2 linked regions of the Lepisosteus oculatus genome follow. The main gene of each other region encodes a partner of the protein of the gene in region 2 in a complex. Links are inferred from orthologs where the notes say so. Each region holds a gene or a part of one and is shown on either strand. Other genes may lie near its edges.

The links.
Region 1: ncoa6 (region 2) and kdm6a share a complex: the UniProt entries of both Homo sapiens proteins name them as parts of the MLL2/3 complex. The link is inferred for Lepisosteus oculatus from reciprocal best matches to the Homo sapiens genes NCOA6 and KDM6A.

The regions. Positions count from the first base shown.
Region 1 is NC_090710.1:3,601,501-3,609,539, reverse strand, and holds the start of kdm6a (lysine-specific demethylase 6A), read left to right. Parts: upstream 1-4,964; 5' UTR 4,965-5,329; coding exon 5,330-5,502; intron 5,503-5,684; coding exon 5,685-5,748; intron 5,749-8,039. UniProt on the Homo sapiens protein: Histone demethylase that specifically demethylates 'Lys-27' of histone H3, thereby playing a central role in histone code. Demethylates trimethylated and dimethylated but not monomethylated H3 'Lys-27'.
Region 2 is NC_090711.1:6,899,111-6,906,130, forward strand, and holds the start of ncoa6 (nuclear receptor coactivator 6), read left to right. Parts: upstream 1-4,012; 5' UTR 4,013-4,114; intron 4,115-6,288; 5' UTR 6,289-6,329; coding exon 6,330-6,561; intron 6,562-6,912; coding exon 6,913-7,020. UniProt on the Homo sapiens protein: Nuclear receptor coactivator that directly binds nuclear receptors and stimulates the transcriptional activities in a hormone-dependent fashion. Coactivates expression in an agonist- and AF2-dependent manner.

The sequences.
Region 1 (8,039 bases), on a different chromosome or scaffold from region 2:
CCTCTGTTGTGATGATTCCTGAATTTACTTTAAATCTGCTTTGGTAGTTAGCTCCCTTCATTAAAATAGTTATGTTAGCATAGCAGTAACGCACCACATTGCTTTACAACAGGAAAGATAAAATATGGAGTGCTAACCACACTCAAAACACTATTCAGCAGTTCTCTTTGAAAAAAAATGTTCTCTGTAAAACAAACAGCAACCTGTGAAGCAAAGTACCTACTTAAAGAATCATTGTAATCAGTTAAAACGTTTACCTTTACAAGCTCTTTTTCTTTTGCCTAAAGTCTCTAATCCTACCTCTTGAACAATTGCTCCTGTATTAGTTTGGTTTGTTTTTTCATGCTTTTCTGTTATGAATTCAACGCAGAAGAGGCACATCGTGCATTTTTGAAACTCTAGGAGGTTTTTCAGCTTCATCTTCTGCTTTGTTCTGTCTAGAAAAGTTATACCTAGACATGGATTCTACGTCATCCCACATCTCTTGTGCTTTACAGGCCTCTCTGCTGTTGCTAGTGACAGAAAGCCACTCCTCTCTGCCTCTCTGACACCTCTGACAGATTTAAAGCTTGGCAGAACTGTACCAATATAGGAAGCGGAGTTCCTGTCAGCCAGGAAAGTGACCCCTGCTATGTGTGACTATAACAAAGGGCCCCAAACATTACTGGCTGTGGTGCACACCTGACAGGCAGAGAGCTGAGGAGCTTGCATGACCTTTGCAAACTGAGAGAAATACTCTATTCTATGAAATAGCTGATATGACTCTTTTTTTTTCTTTGTGCATGTAATCCAGGTTATCTTTATGCACATATATGTTTCTGGTGCAACCTGGAACCTGGAGACTGGCTGCAAGTAGTCTCAGTCCTAAAAATCCTATATGGCTGACCCTGCCCTCTGACCCCAAGCTTCTCTCCCTGTCTGTGTCTCATGGAGAGCAAGTTGGGGTCTGCGAAGAGACAGATTCCTAATACAATAAATTGTATATGGCCAATAAAGTGATCTTATTGTCAACAAAATCTTAACAAGGACATCCATGAATATGATTAGATGTTAATCATGTAACAAAAATCATATTTGACATTATAGGTTGCTTGTCCGACTGTTTGACAGTGTATCACAAGCGAATATGGACCTGGATTCTATTCTCCCACATAGCTCTAAGAACACTTTGCCTAAGCTATTTAAATGACAGGTATGCTGTAATACATGCTCTCGATATGTGCAAAAAAATCAAGAAATATGGAAAACTATGTGCACATAGGTATTAAATTACCTACATGCATCATATAATCTATCTCCTAACATGCCCTTCATTTACAGCAGCACTCCAACAGAAGGAAAAGGACTGATTTTTTTGCATGCTATGTCTACTGTTACCGATACGACCCTGGGGGCGGGGGTGGGAGGGGTTTTTATGTTTGTGAGAGCCCCCCATTGCCAGGGAATCCAATCCAGCTGACAATGAGGTAATGAGCCTGTGTTTAAAGCCGGCCTGAAAGTTGATTTTGATTTCTTGTTGGGCCTATCTACCTCCCTGAGAATGTGGACTACCGCTTGCATAATTAACACAACAACAGCGCTGTGGACCACTGACATTTTGTTCATATATAGAAACGACAACCATGGTTCTTGGACCCTGAGGCCATGTAACTCATAAAGCCTTCAAGGTGGTTTTGTTTGCACAATCTGCTGGACACCTGCAGTGCTTGGTTAACTTCCTGGGCGCCTTGAAAGCAAGGCTGAAAGTGCTTGCCTGAGTGTAAAATGTACTCGACGATTACGGATTATGATTATGGACGATTACGGACCTTGTTCAGGTCACTAGCCGACTGTGACTGGGATTCTGGGCTTATGGTACGGGACAAGAGGAGAGATGAGATGGGAAGGAAACAAAGCAAAAGTGCACCCAGGTGACAAAACTAGGCCATTTTAGGCCTGTGGTTCTTTTCCTTGCCTGTCATGATGTGGGTCATGATTTAATCCCCAGCTGTTGCAGCTTTTAGGACTTGGGGTTCTGAGCCACGGAGAATAATGTCTCTTCTGATTTTCATTCCTTCCAAGTTCTTAATTACAGGCTTATTGATGTGTGTTTTCAACCTGTAGCATTATCTACATTATTAATTTTAACTCTTAAAGGGTCAAATGGGATATATAATTGGTTTCATCCCTGTGTCATTTTCTAAATTACAAAACATCCCTCTCACACAAAACTGGCATAAATCAGTTAGATCTAACTGGATCAGTGCAGAAGAAAGAAACGCTCACTGTGGGCGTTCATCAGCAACTGGTCGACTAGGAAGAGACCTTTAGTAAGAAACAATGTTCTGTGTACTGGAAGTGTTGGAAGCAGCACCCCTTGAGCTAAATAAAAATCTAAACAAGCAGGCAGATCCAATAAATCACCAATCAGCCCCTGATACTTCGAGTTCAACTGGAATATAATACAGAAGAGCGTTCCTCCAGAACCAGGGCTGGGAACCATTGGTTGAGGTATATGTATCATTTTAACACATACATTTTAACACAATCGGCTGTTCTCACATGTAATAAGTGATTAAGATTTCCATTTGTTTAGAGCTCAGCAAAGACCTCTACCTATTTTCCATATAAAAAATTAATCTATATGTTGATGGACCTATAACACACGCAATTGATTTTACATAGATGTTCACACTGCTGCAGTTCTCCTTCTTAATATTTGGATTCTAGTACACAAGAAAAATACTCAAGGTGAATTTTATTTTTCTTAAAAAAAAGGGTGGCAAATGTTTATTTAGAGAAAATCACTCAATAAAGTCAAAAATAATAACAGGCAAGTTGAAGAGTGTTCTGCTTTCTGAAAGTATTGGAAACAAGTTAAAGAATTTCTATACTGCAGAAAGAATTCCTAGAGTATTGATTAATCTTAGTATAACTGAGAATGAGGTATTGCTGCAAGCGGAATGACTACAATTTTTCACTTCCTCTCGGCCTGACTATTTTCCCAGTAGTTCTTTAGAAAAAGTGTCTGGATTGTTTCATAGACCTTTTACCAGTATAATTCACGTCATTAAGAATCGCACCAATTTCAGAATTGCAAATGTAACACCAATGCATAAAAAGCGGGACAAAATTAAACTAGGAAACTATAAGTCAATCAGTCTTATTTATGTTGCTGGCAATGTTACAGAAATGATAGCTGGAACTGAACTAAAAGAATTATTTAAAACATTTGCATTTTAAGAGACAGCCAACATGGATTTAGATGAAAGCCTCATTTAATTTACCAGCGACAAGGACAGTTGATCCACTATTGAAACCACTATAGAAAATGACATATTTAGACTACCAGAAAGTATTTGACAAGGTCGCTCATTAAAAGCTTTATTAAAAAAAACTCAATGTAAAAAAACGCACATAGATTGAAACTGGTTTAACAAACAAGAATTCTTATGCATTTATCCATCCTAAAATGCATAACCTATGAAAGGGGCTGATATTTATTTTTTATGATTTGTATAAGCAATTTGGATTTTGATATTAGCTAACAAAACAGTTAATGGTTGCATGACACAAAAACACAAGTGGCAAACACACAAACAGCAGCAAGAGAAGTACCAAGGGTTAAAAAAAATGGATTGGATTTTATGAAATTTAAAAGTAACATTGAAGCACAAACATTTACTATGCATGTACATCCCACATGGGTGATTTGGAGCTGCAGGGAGTTACACAAAAGAAGCATCTGGTTGTTTATGTGAATTATTTTTCAGCTACATCAAAATAACATGAGGAAGCAAAGAAAAGTTAATGGAATACTTGGGGTGCATAGGAAAAAGTGTGGGATTCAAACAGTGTAATTATGAACCATCTTTAAAATTCTTTAGTAAGACATCTACAATATTCTAGCTCCTAGAGGCAATTTGCTACAAGTATACAAAACGCCAAGGGGTTTAGATAAGACTATTTTTCAGGTATTAACAAAACCAGATCACAGTTGAAAAAAAAAGGAATGTATTGAGAGGAAAACAGGACCCATTTCTCCAAACTTGTGTCCAGAGCATATGCTCTCCATCCTTTTGTTGAGAACAAAAGTTATGCCTTTTGAAAATAAGATCTCAAACAAGGATGGACACAACGGCCACCTCTTGCTTGCAGCTGTGCGTACAAAGCACCATATTTCACTTTACTGTTTCTTTACGAGTTTCACACACTCACGTTTTACGCTGCCTTTTGCTCAGAAAGGGATGAATTTCCAAGTTACACATTACAGATTGCTTTACTAATATCGACGGCACCTTCAGTTTAAAAAAACTCATTTTAAATCGCAATCTGTGTGGGAACCATGAAAACGAACGACCCCCCCCCCCCCCCACAAACAAAAATGGGTAAAACAAGATAATGGCGTTTTTGTTATAGTGAAAAAAGGGTTTCTAACTGCACAACCGCAGTTTGGCACTTCCCCCTAACCGAGCATTTTACTGAATCAATAACCAAGAAATAACTTCGCCTTTTACACCGAGCATTTTACTAAATCACGAACCAAGAAATAACTTCGCCTTTTACCATCACAACCAGCGCACCTCAAACTATCTACGCTGTAACCAAAAAATGGGGCACAGTCATCGCAATTACTCGTATATGTAGCTGGACCTACTAACCTGCTGTATAATTAAGGCCGCCTTTTGCAATACCACACGGAAAATGGCAGGACTCTCATCCAATCGTGGCATCGGAAAGGTAAAACGTCACCCTATTGAATGGACTGCCCACCAATCCATGCGAGAGGGCAGAACGAGCGAAGTTGTGTGTGTTTTTTCTATCCTTGCCGTTTTGTAAGTTTGTATGAGAGGCGCGGAGCTCCAGAGAAAGGAACCCCAAGACATCCACAGACAAGGCTGGTCACATGACGCGGCGGGCGCTCCTCATTGGCTGCGGCAGGCAGAGGGGAGGGCGTACCGACGGCGGCGGCGTGGGTTCGCCTGTGTGACACAATTACAACAACTTTGAGCTGGTGGTTTGGGGGGAAGTTTGTGATATTAACCAAATAACACCCCGTTTTGAAAAACCCCGCATTCATAGCACTCCATGCACAACAACGCTCTCGGTTGCATACAGATATTTTTTGTATAAAACAATGTAAAAAAAAAAAGAAGACCATTTTGGAGGGTTTCTTTTTTTTTTTTTTGCTCTCCTGTAAAAAGGATTTACTGTTTATTTTTTTTTTTTTGCATTTTTTTTTTTCAATCCTGGAAATAAAAAAGTTGGTTTTCCCTCTCCCGATTTTTTTTGGCTTCGCTGTTTTGTTTTGGTGGAGGTTTTTCGTTGGCTGCCCCCCCGGTGCGTTCCCATGAAATCGTGCGGAGTGTCGCTCGCCGCCGCCGCCTGCGCTGCTGCTCGAAGTCTCGGCGCTACTGCTGGTGATGAGGAAAAGAAAATGGCGGCGGGAAAAGCGATTGAAACCGAAGAGGACTTTCCGAGGCTGACAGCGCAGGAGAGGGACACCCTGGCCGGGATAGACAGGTCAGAAAAGGGCGCGGTGCGGGGAAAATGCCGCTTTTTCTCTTCTTCCTGGCGTTCCGCGGTGGTGGTGGTCTTCTTTTCCCCCCCCAAAAAAACGAGTGAATTTAAACCCGCTTGGTTATTTTTTGCAAAACCTCCCGAGTTAACGCGGAGCCGCCTGTGTGTTGTTTTCTGTTTTACAGCCGGCTGTTTGGATTTCAGAGGCTTCATGAAGATGGCGCCAGAACGAAGGCCTTGCTATTAAAGGTATTTGAAGAATATCGGACCCGAGAAGGCCTTCCCCCCCTTAAACTCCCGTTAGTGCATTTTGTACCTGGGAGGCACCTAGTTTAAAGCGCTTTAAGAGAAAAGAGGTCGACCTCATGGCGATGCGCCCCCCGTGCATTAAAAATTGGTGTGTTTTGCACCCTCTCCCCAGTCTTGCACATTTGCAGAGCTGTGGGAGATCGGGAGTGGGACTCTTATTTTGGGGCATTTAATTTTTCAGGGTAGCAATGTTTGCAGCGGTGACGTTGTTAGTGTTATTGTGCGTGTGTGTTTTTAACATGGAAAAGTAGTGACTACATCAGGACCTTCGTGCATCTCACCAGGCTGCGCGGTTCCGTTTCCCTGTTTTTTTTTTGGGGAGGGGGACAGTTTTGGCAAACTGGTCCTCGGATGTTGATGTAGGATCTGTAAAAATGGGTCAGTCATATTTGGGAGCCACGTCCAGTTTGTGGCGATATTACGGATTGTTAGATGGCTGTGCGGTTTAGATTGCAGTTGGATTTGTGTTATTGAACCTGAATTCGCGACGAGGGGAATTAGGATCTTTATTTTAAATCCTTTCACCGCCCCCCCCCCCATGACTTTAGCTCAAGCTAAAAGCAGAAATTGTTGCGGTTATTTGGTGCTTTCCAGCAGTTGCGTTCCCTGGATGTTATTTACATGGCCGTGTCGTGCAGTTAGCTGTACCCGCCACCCAGCCGTGCCTGTCGTCGCGGTTTGCTTGACAGTAAATAAGTAAAAACTTGTTGACCGTGTTCGTGTGGAAGGGATGCTGTCTTACGAGGGGGGGAGAGGGGGTTTGCGACGAAGTTGTTGGTTCTGTTTTTAAACATAGTTAGTAATGGCTGCTTGAATCGGCCCAAGATGGCGGGACGGGGAGGAGAAAAAAGTGAGAGAGAAATAGAGGCAGGGGAGCTAAATTATCGAATATATCAAGCCTGTTGAGAGACATTGGGCGGCGAGTTCGGTTTCTCTCCGTTTATTTTTATACTTTTTACGTCGTTTTCACCCACGGTATTTTGCGTTTTATTTACAAAAAAAAAAACCCCGACGGGGACGGCTTGCTTGTGTGCTGCGTTTGCTGTGCGCGTGCCACCCCCTGCTCTCGGCACCTATCGCATCATCAACCTGTAGCACATTGGACACCGAACAAAGGCTACCGGGGGGTCCGTTTTTGGAGGTTCCCATTTTTTCCTCACTCTAAAAGAATGCACGATGCAGGTGCACAGTTTTTGCAAACCCCCCCCCCCCCCCAGTCTGTTTCACTCGTCTGTTGAGTCGTGCTCAGGAGGTCTGGAAGGTCTGGGCCTCTTTCGTGTGCCATGATATTATATTCTTCGGGGTGAGGGTGCCTTAAGTGTAGACCCAATTATTCATGAGGCAGGGCAACTTCAGTTTTTTTTTCCCCCGCGCAGGCTGTAACCAATGCGGTTAACGTTTAGTTTCGCTATGCACCAATACTGGCACGTATGGTGCGACTGAACCAGTTTTGAAATTCGTGGACTTGTGTGTGAGAAATACGCTCTTGTAGGATTTGTCCTCATGCCCCGATATGTAAATTAAAAGGCGTCGGTGGTGCTCGAAGCCATTGTTTTTAACTACGGATTGTGTTTCCAGTTTTAGGGTTGTATTAACGATGCACACTAATTCTAGTCAGAGTAGGATATCACTTCCGTATTTGGGAATCTATAAACGAAACGGAAGGATAAACATTAGGGGAAAGATGGGCGTCATTTAGTCACACAAATGTCCCTTTTATCGAATTGTTGTTTTGTTGCGTGTTTGTGCTTGAACGCCAAGCCTTTGGATTAGCTTTGGTGAACGTTCACTTTAAATGAGCCCAGAATTTGGGGTTTTATTTCCAGGTACAATTTTGCCATGTTGTTACTTTTGCTGTCTTGGTGAAAATAACCTCGCAGGTTTTATGGTTTCAAAAAAGATGTGTGGATGAGGCAGCAAAACCTTACTGCAGAACAGTGCGAACACGTTGGTAGAAAATTATTGCTGTTTGACCAGGAGTGTCTCTTCATAGCACATTGAGGTCCTGGGCGCCTGGAAAGTGTTGATTCTCTTACTGTGTGTAGTTTTCATTAAAAGTTTTAAATGTAAAACTACTGCTACAGTGGTCTTTATGAATCATTGGTAGGCCACCAAATGTCTGTGTTAGTCTTAAGCAATAGGGAGGATGGGATTACATTAAAATTAAAATGATGGATGCTTTCTGTATTAAAGAGACAGCACTTCATAAAGACATGCGTATTTACATATTG
Region 2 (7,020 bases):
GAGAGGGGGTCCGGTCACAGGCGGGGGGGAGCATGAAGTGTCAGCAAGTTTAGGGAGGGGCCAGCTGTTTCGCCTAATCCTGCAGACAGGTGCACGATTCGATATTTATTGTAGATTCTTGCCAGATTCACAGGGCATGTTGCACAGCAGTTTCACCGTTGCAGTCTTGTCTAGTCAGAAGCATTCACTTGCTACACTGTAAATACCACTGACCATCAATGCAGGCCAACCCCAAGAACTGACACGAACCCCCTTTCCTTCCACCCTGCCCTGTATCAAAAGAGGGGCGTCATGTGCTGCTGAGAATTTCCTGTCATCCGCCGTGCGCCCATCAGGTGTCCGTAATGATAGTGCGAAGCTTTATCTAAAGTGCATTTTTTGCTTTTCAGAATTCAGAAGGTCAATTTTTAAAATCTGTCCAAGAGGTTTTTTGATCGGGGCCGGACCTGTTGGAGATGGAAATTCACATGACTGAATCATGACATGCTTAAAACATCCGTCCCGCTACTGTTGTAATGTAATGTACTGCTTCATTTTGTGCCACTTACGGGATGATTTTGGCAAATTATCAGTAGAACAGAATGTAAGGTATCGTAGCTGACTGCCGGTAGAAATGTCCAGAAGGATGCTTTGAATGTACACTGTAAATGCAATATTTGAAGTGATGGTACAGTATGCTTAGGATGTCATTTTAGTACCTGAGAATGAAGTTTCATTTTTGCTAAAAGTTTGCAGACTGAAACAATAGGTATAAAAGCAGACTTTCATGGAAAGAGATGCAAACATTTGACAGGCTATGGTTTCATAACATTTGTATAATGAATGGAAAAACCCTAACTTTACACTGAACATTAGAAATGTCTGTAATGTTACATGGTTAGTTTTTTATGTATACACAATTAAAATAGGAAATCGGTTTTTCTTCTTCAAACTAGTAACTAGTAATTTTTACTTGAAGTCAGCTATGCAACAGGACTCCCTGATTATGTTAATAATTGCCACTAAGATCTGGAGATCAGTTAAGGTCAAGCCCTAAGTCTACCGCAGAAATTATCAATAATTTAGAAATATTAAGAAACTATTTATGCAGTTGGCAATTTAATTCTCCATCCCAGCCAGGTAACCAAGTCAAAGTGCCATAAAGGAGCTTGCATTACTGTACTGTTTTCACTGTAACACAGCATACTTTAATATCTTAATCTTTGACACACTAAAACTGTACTGTACATGGTTCAACTAGGAGCCATGACAGACTTACATTAACCTAGGAATTTGGATTTACTTTGCATTATACCCTCTGCTTAATTGGCACAGTAGAGTTCTAGTCAATAAATGCAGTGGGACATGAACTAGTGATATCACAAGTAATGTGTTTTGTAGTGATCACCCCTGTATTCGTTTTAATGTATGTTGTCAGAATCTGATATTATCACTCTGAGAATTATTATCTTAGATTTAATATAATTGTGGTATATACAGTTATTGTTGGGGGATAAGGGTAGTTCCTGGAGATTACACTTTATTTAGATCTCTTGTTTTTCAAACGTACAGTACTCCACTGAGATTACTGGCCCAGTTCAGCGATGGTTGCGACTATATGAAACACAGACACAATTTAATTTTGTTAAATTGAAGGAAGAAAGAGAAACCTTTTGGGCTACAAGTTAGATTAACAATAAGATTAACAGTTTGTACATTTGAAGGACATGCCATGCTTAGTCATACCGTTAGGACACAATGTTTCAATCATACCCAACAGGGACCATTACAGTACAAATTCCCTTTTTAGGCAGAAATCACAGGACAATTGTGAGAAATTAGATGTCTAGGACAACTTTCTGAATGCTCTGCTTATACACACAGCTTTTCACAGATCTGAAAAAGAGGTCATATTTGAATTTGTGTTAACAAGGTTCATCATGTCAATTAGCTGAACAGAGTTTATTCAGAAATCTCTGGATCAATTAAATCGATGGTTCTCTGCTGGTACCCTCTCATACGCTACTCCTGCTCTGAGCAGCTGTTGCTCTGCTCTGGCTGCTGTTGTTATCTGTAGCCCTAATACTGATCCAAAAAAGATTACATCCCATTTTGGATCAATCCCGTTCCTCATTTTGTTCATTCTGTAATGTTGCATTTGCATTACAAAACAGAACATCTTTTGTTATATCAAAATGTTAGTGCTGTTGTTTGCCCAGCCTGTTCTTCTGCACATTAGTCATGTGTATTTAGCAATCAGAAAGAAGCCAAGTTTAATGGAAGAAAAGGGACGACTGAATGAACTAGGTGTCAATGTACTGTATTTTATAACAGTACTCTTGTAGTGGAAGGCTACTAACCTTCAGTTCACAAAACTGGATGACGCTTTATTTTTTTAATAAAGCTGACACTTAAAAATGCCTTTTTGCCATAAAATAATGCTTAAAAGATTATGATGTTGCCAGCAGTCAATGTTCATTCATCTCATGTACAAGGTCTAACAGATTTTCTAATAAAACATGTCAAGACTGTGTGTTTTGTAGTATGTAGTTTTTTTTACCTACCTTAAGTTTGCCTTCTTCACAAGCATATGTTCTTACTTTTGAGCAATCTATACTCTAATTACAAACTAGCAGTGTGAAGAGTAATTACATATTTTACTGAAATTAACAAAACACTTAAGCAGGAAAAGCACAGTAATACTATCTAGAAATACTGTATTGTGTTACAAAATCACATCAACAATCCATTAACAGAAACGGAAGGCTATCTACAAACTGGCAGGTCTATAAACTGGACAGGACACTAGTTTATTGCAAGGTACAGACACACAGTGGCTCAAGTGGGTCATGGACAATTTAGGTACCCTCTTAAACTAGCCAGTGTGTCTTGGATGTTGGGAGAGAAATAGATAATTCACAAAAACCCATGGGTGTGATGCGAGACCAAGCTAACTCCACAGATAAGGTACCCAAGCTTTAGTTTTAGAATGAAACACAAAAACTGTGAGGCAAGGTCATTGTGGTTTTGTACGTAGTTATGATTTATACGCACTATATCATATAGTATATGCATTTATATGCGCTTTGGTTGATGTCGATGTTGGAATGCACAGGTGATGGGTTTAAAACAATTCTATATCAGGGCATATGCTGTGGCTAGTTTTTTTTATTTCCATTACTTTATCATGATTTACGTATTTGCCGAAAACCGGTTGTATAACTTGGTTTAAGTGGTTGTATACATGTGGGCAAAATAAGGCGTTATAAATCCGACTATGCCATTATTATAACCCATTACAGCAATAAGGACAATGTAAAGAGTGTCAGGAAATCATGCATTTCTTTAAACTAGTTTTACTGTATCAGGCCACGGTAAGAGAAGTGCGCTGATACTGCTGGAGGACGGAACATTTCTATTTTCTGTTCGGTCTGTGATTCTTTCGTGTGCTGCGAGTGATAAGAACGACAATTATTAGCATTAACAGCAAAGTGCAAAAAGAAATAAAGTCGTTTGCGTGCGCAAGACATTAATTTAACAAAATGTTGTTCTTGCTGCTCAACGCCAACACACACACACAGGCGAAGCGACAAAACATCACGGAAGTGTGAATTTACAAGGTAACGTCGGACGTGTTTTTATTAGGTAATAAATTATACAGTGTAGCAGCGAATAAAAAAAAAATGCAGAACTAAGTCGTACCCCCCTGTTCTGCTATAATAATAAATCCTTCACTACTAAAATCAATTATTGGTTCGATTTTTGTCAAAGAGAATTTCGGTTTACTGAGTTTCAGAGCAGCTCACAACCAATAGCTTCGTCCCTTGTTGCGGAGCTAACTTCTCCCCCTGTTCTCCTTAGCTCAGAGATCACCGCCATCGGCGGAAACTACGGCAAGCGAAAAGACAAATCTGCACGACGCCCTGAACGATTCGTTTACGCCAGTTGCGCAGCCTAACACTACACGCCTCATGCCAGGAAGCAGGAGGAGATTGATTTGTGAATAGGGCGAAAACGAGAAAAGGCTGTCTAGTGTCTGCCCACCCCCCCCCCCTCGCTTCGTGTTGTTGTCACGGCTGCCTGCTCCGTTTTTTTTTTGTTACCGAACAGGAGTTGATTCCAATGGAGTGATCAGGTAAGGATTAAAACCCAGCCTATGTGCTTGTTCTGCTTGGCTTAAAGAAAAAAGATTAAAAGGTGTAACTGCAATAAAGCGAGGGCGTTTTTACCGACTATGGCAGAGATTCAGATCTCCGGCTGCGGAGCCGGTGTATAGCCTGCACATCCATGGTGGCGGAAAACCAAACTCGGAGGGCCTGTGATGGTTGCGTTCATACATCGCAAATCTCGGGCGGAAAACGAAATCCGCTCCTTTCGGGTTCGAGTTCGCGTCTGTCGTACGGTTTTCGGTCTGAAGCGAGCAGGGGGGACGCCTTCGCGTCTCGGAAACCTGCAGGTTGAAACCAAAATGTCACCAAAAAGGGTTTTCTTCTGACTGCTGACGCGCATCGTTGGGATAACATCTCCACCGTAACCATCGCATGCATCTCCTCCAGACTGGTAGCCAACAGTGTGTGTGATGTTTGAAATGATGGAAATAAATTACTCGGCAAATGCAAAATATGCAGCATTTTGATATGGGTGCTATCATTCTTACAAACCATTATTTTAAGGTGTCAAAACCCTAACTTATATTTTTCCTGTCACGATCACAGCTTTTGTTTCTTTTTACTTGAACTCAAATTTATATTGAGATTTTTAAAGAAATGTATTTTCGTGAGAAATGGTTCCTGTATATGATCTTTTTAAGATGTACAATAATGCCGCTCTTGTATCTTGTACATAACTACAGTGCACAGACTGCTAAATGTTACTGAATTATCTTATAAGCTGCTCGGATTCGTTATAGTGGTTTAAATACGAATATACATGCATTTTCTGCATTCCTTGTTGGTCATATTACTGCCAAAGATAAACTGTTTTTGAGGAGGAATAATTACTCCTTCTGTTGACTCTATTATTAAATTATTAAATCCATGCAGGGTTTATTCATTTTTCCTAGACGTAAAGGTCGGTTTTGTCAGTTGCTGTCTGTCATGCTTTTGCGTTATCTGTTCAGTTTATTCTTGGAGGTCGAGATTGTGTGAATTCGTGTGTGGTGCTGGTATCTGGTATTTATTTTCTGCATGTAAAAATGCTGAAAAGAAAGGGGTTTATTATGAAACTCAGGTTTCTGAATACTCTTTCGCTTAGGTAGGCTGAATGACCATGGGGTACGATCATTTTATGCTCTTATTTTTATAGTTAATGTCACAAATTGTGTGGTCCAGCCCAGTCTCTTCTGTCAAAGAGCTGAGCTTCAGTTGGATTGCCTCTTTTGAAGGAAAATTGCATTGAACTTCTCTATAATCTGAAAAGTTGAAGAAACATTGTGCATTCTTCTTCAGTGATGGTGCTTCTTTGGAAGCTGTGATGGTGCATGTCTGTCATGTTTCCAACCGCTCATGAAGGCCGATATAGCAGCGTAGAAAGCACAGTGTTGACCCTTGTAATAAGATGTTTTATACAGAGAGGCCTAACCTTTTGTATTCAGAGCTGGGGAGGTGCCTTGTCCTATATTCAAAAATAAATTGAACAAAGTGATCAGGACTGGTGGCAAGACTACTTCCACAATCCTGGACTCAGTAATGGAGTGATATATTATTAATTTTGCACATAAAATCTGAGATGACCCCTCACCTCCACTCTTTTTAGAATATACCTTCCTATCCTCAGGGAGAAGGTATTGCATCTTCTGTATAAAGACTAAGAGATCACTTCTTTCCTTTATACCTAAAAGCGTTCAACTCTTCTATATTAAAATGTTTGTAGGTAGGGATCACATTAGTTTTGTTTTTGGATTTTTGTAAGAACATTTTTTGTTTTTTAACCCTTATGGTACTGGACGTTGAATGTGGTCCAAACACCAAACAACTTTGTTATTGTTGCTGCATTATATTGTGGTCGTATTTGTGTATGAGCTTTGTGATGTGCAAGACATCCCTTTAGGAGCAATAATTGTTCATTCAATTTAGAATGTTTATGAGAACATTAAAAATAGTTTTTTGTTCCTGAAATGTTTTTTTTTCCCATAGCTGATAAATGTAATTGAGATCTTAACAGTACTGGGCCCATTGTACAGCTCCTGTGAGCCGCACTGTGAGGTTGTCAGGTAGTCTGTTTTGACCTTTTTTTGTGCTGCACCTGATTGGCTGTTACTTGTGTGAACCTGAGCTCAAGCCCTTCCCACAATGCCTCTCGGTTCTGCAGGGTTGGTTTTGATCAAGCCTCGCTGCTCTACAGGAGGGGCAATGGCAGACTGGCAGGGCCGAGAGCCACCCTCAGCGTGGACAGCACCTGTGGGCGAACCAGACACGGGGCTGGACTCTGGGGTGGAGGATGACCATGACCTCTCACCCCGGCCCCGCTGCCAGGACAACAACTCCAACATCTTCATCGCCTTTAAGGGCAACATGGGTGATGAAGACTTCCAGGAGAACCTGCACAACTTCTTAGAAAGTATGCCAGGCATGCTGGAACTAGGTGAGCAACAACGCGATAGCATTGTGAGAATTAAAATACACTGTACCCACCACATTATGGATAAAAGCAAAGATTTGATCTCACTGGGAAAACGATATTGGATCACAATCTGTCTATGCTTTTATACAGAACCAAGTACAGAGGTAACAGTGGAAAGTTGTAATAGTGTGACTAGAGTAGTAGAATCCAGCATCAGGTATGGACATTTACATAAAACAAAACATCAGTGCAAACTCCTACTTTTCAGTGCCTTAACTGCGAATTCTGTCACTCACACCGGCCGCGGCTGGGCGTTGGCGGGGCTTCTTCGTGGTTTCCTCTCACCCGTCTTTCCCTCCTGTGCCCGGGCAGACTCGGAGCGGCTGCTGCCCCAGCGGCTGGAGCCCTGGAACAGCGTGCGCGTGACGTTCAACATCCCCCGGGACGCCGCCGACCGCCTGCGGCTGATCGCGCAGAACA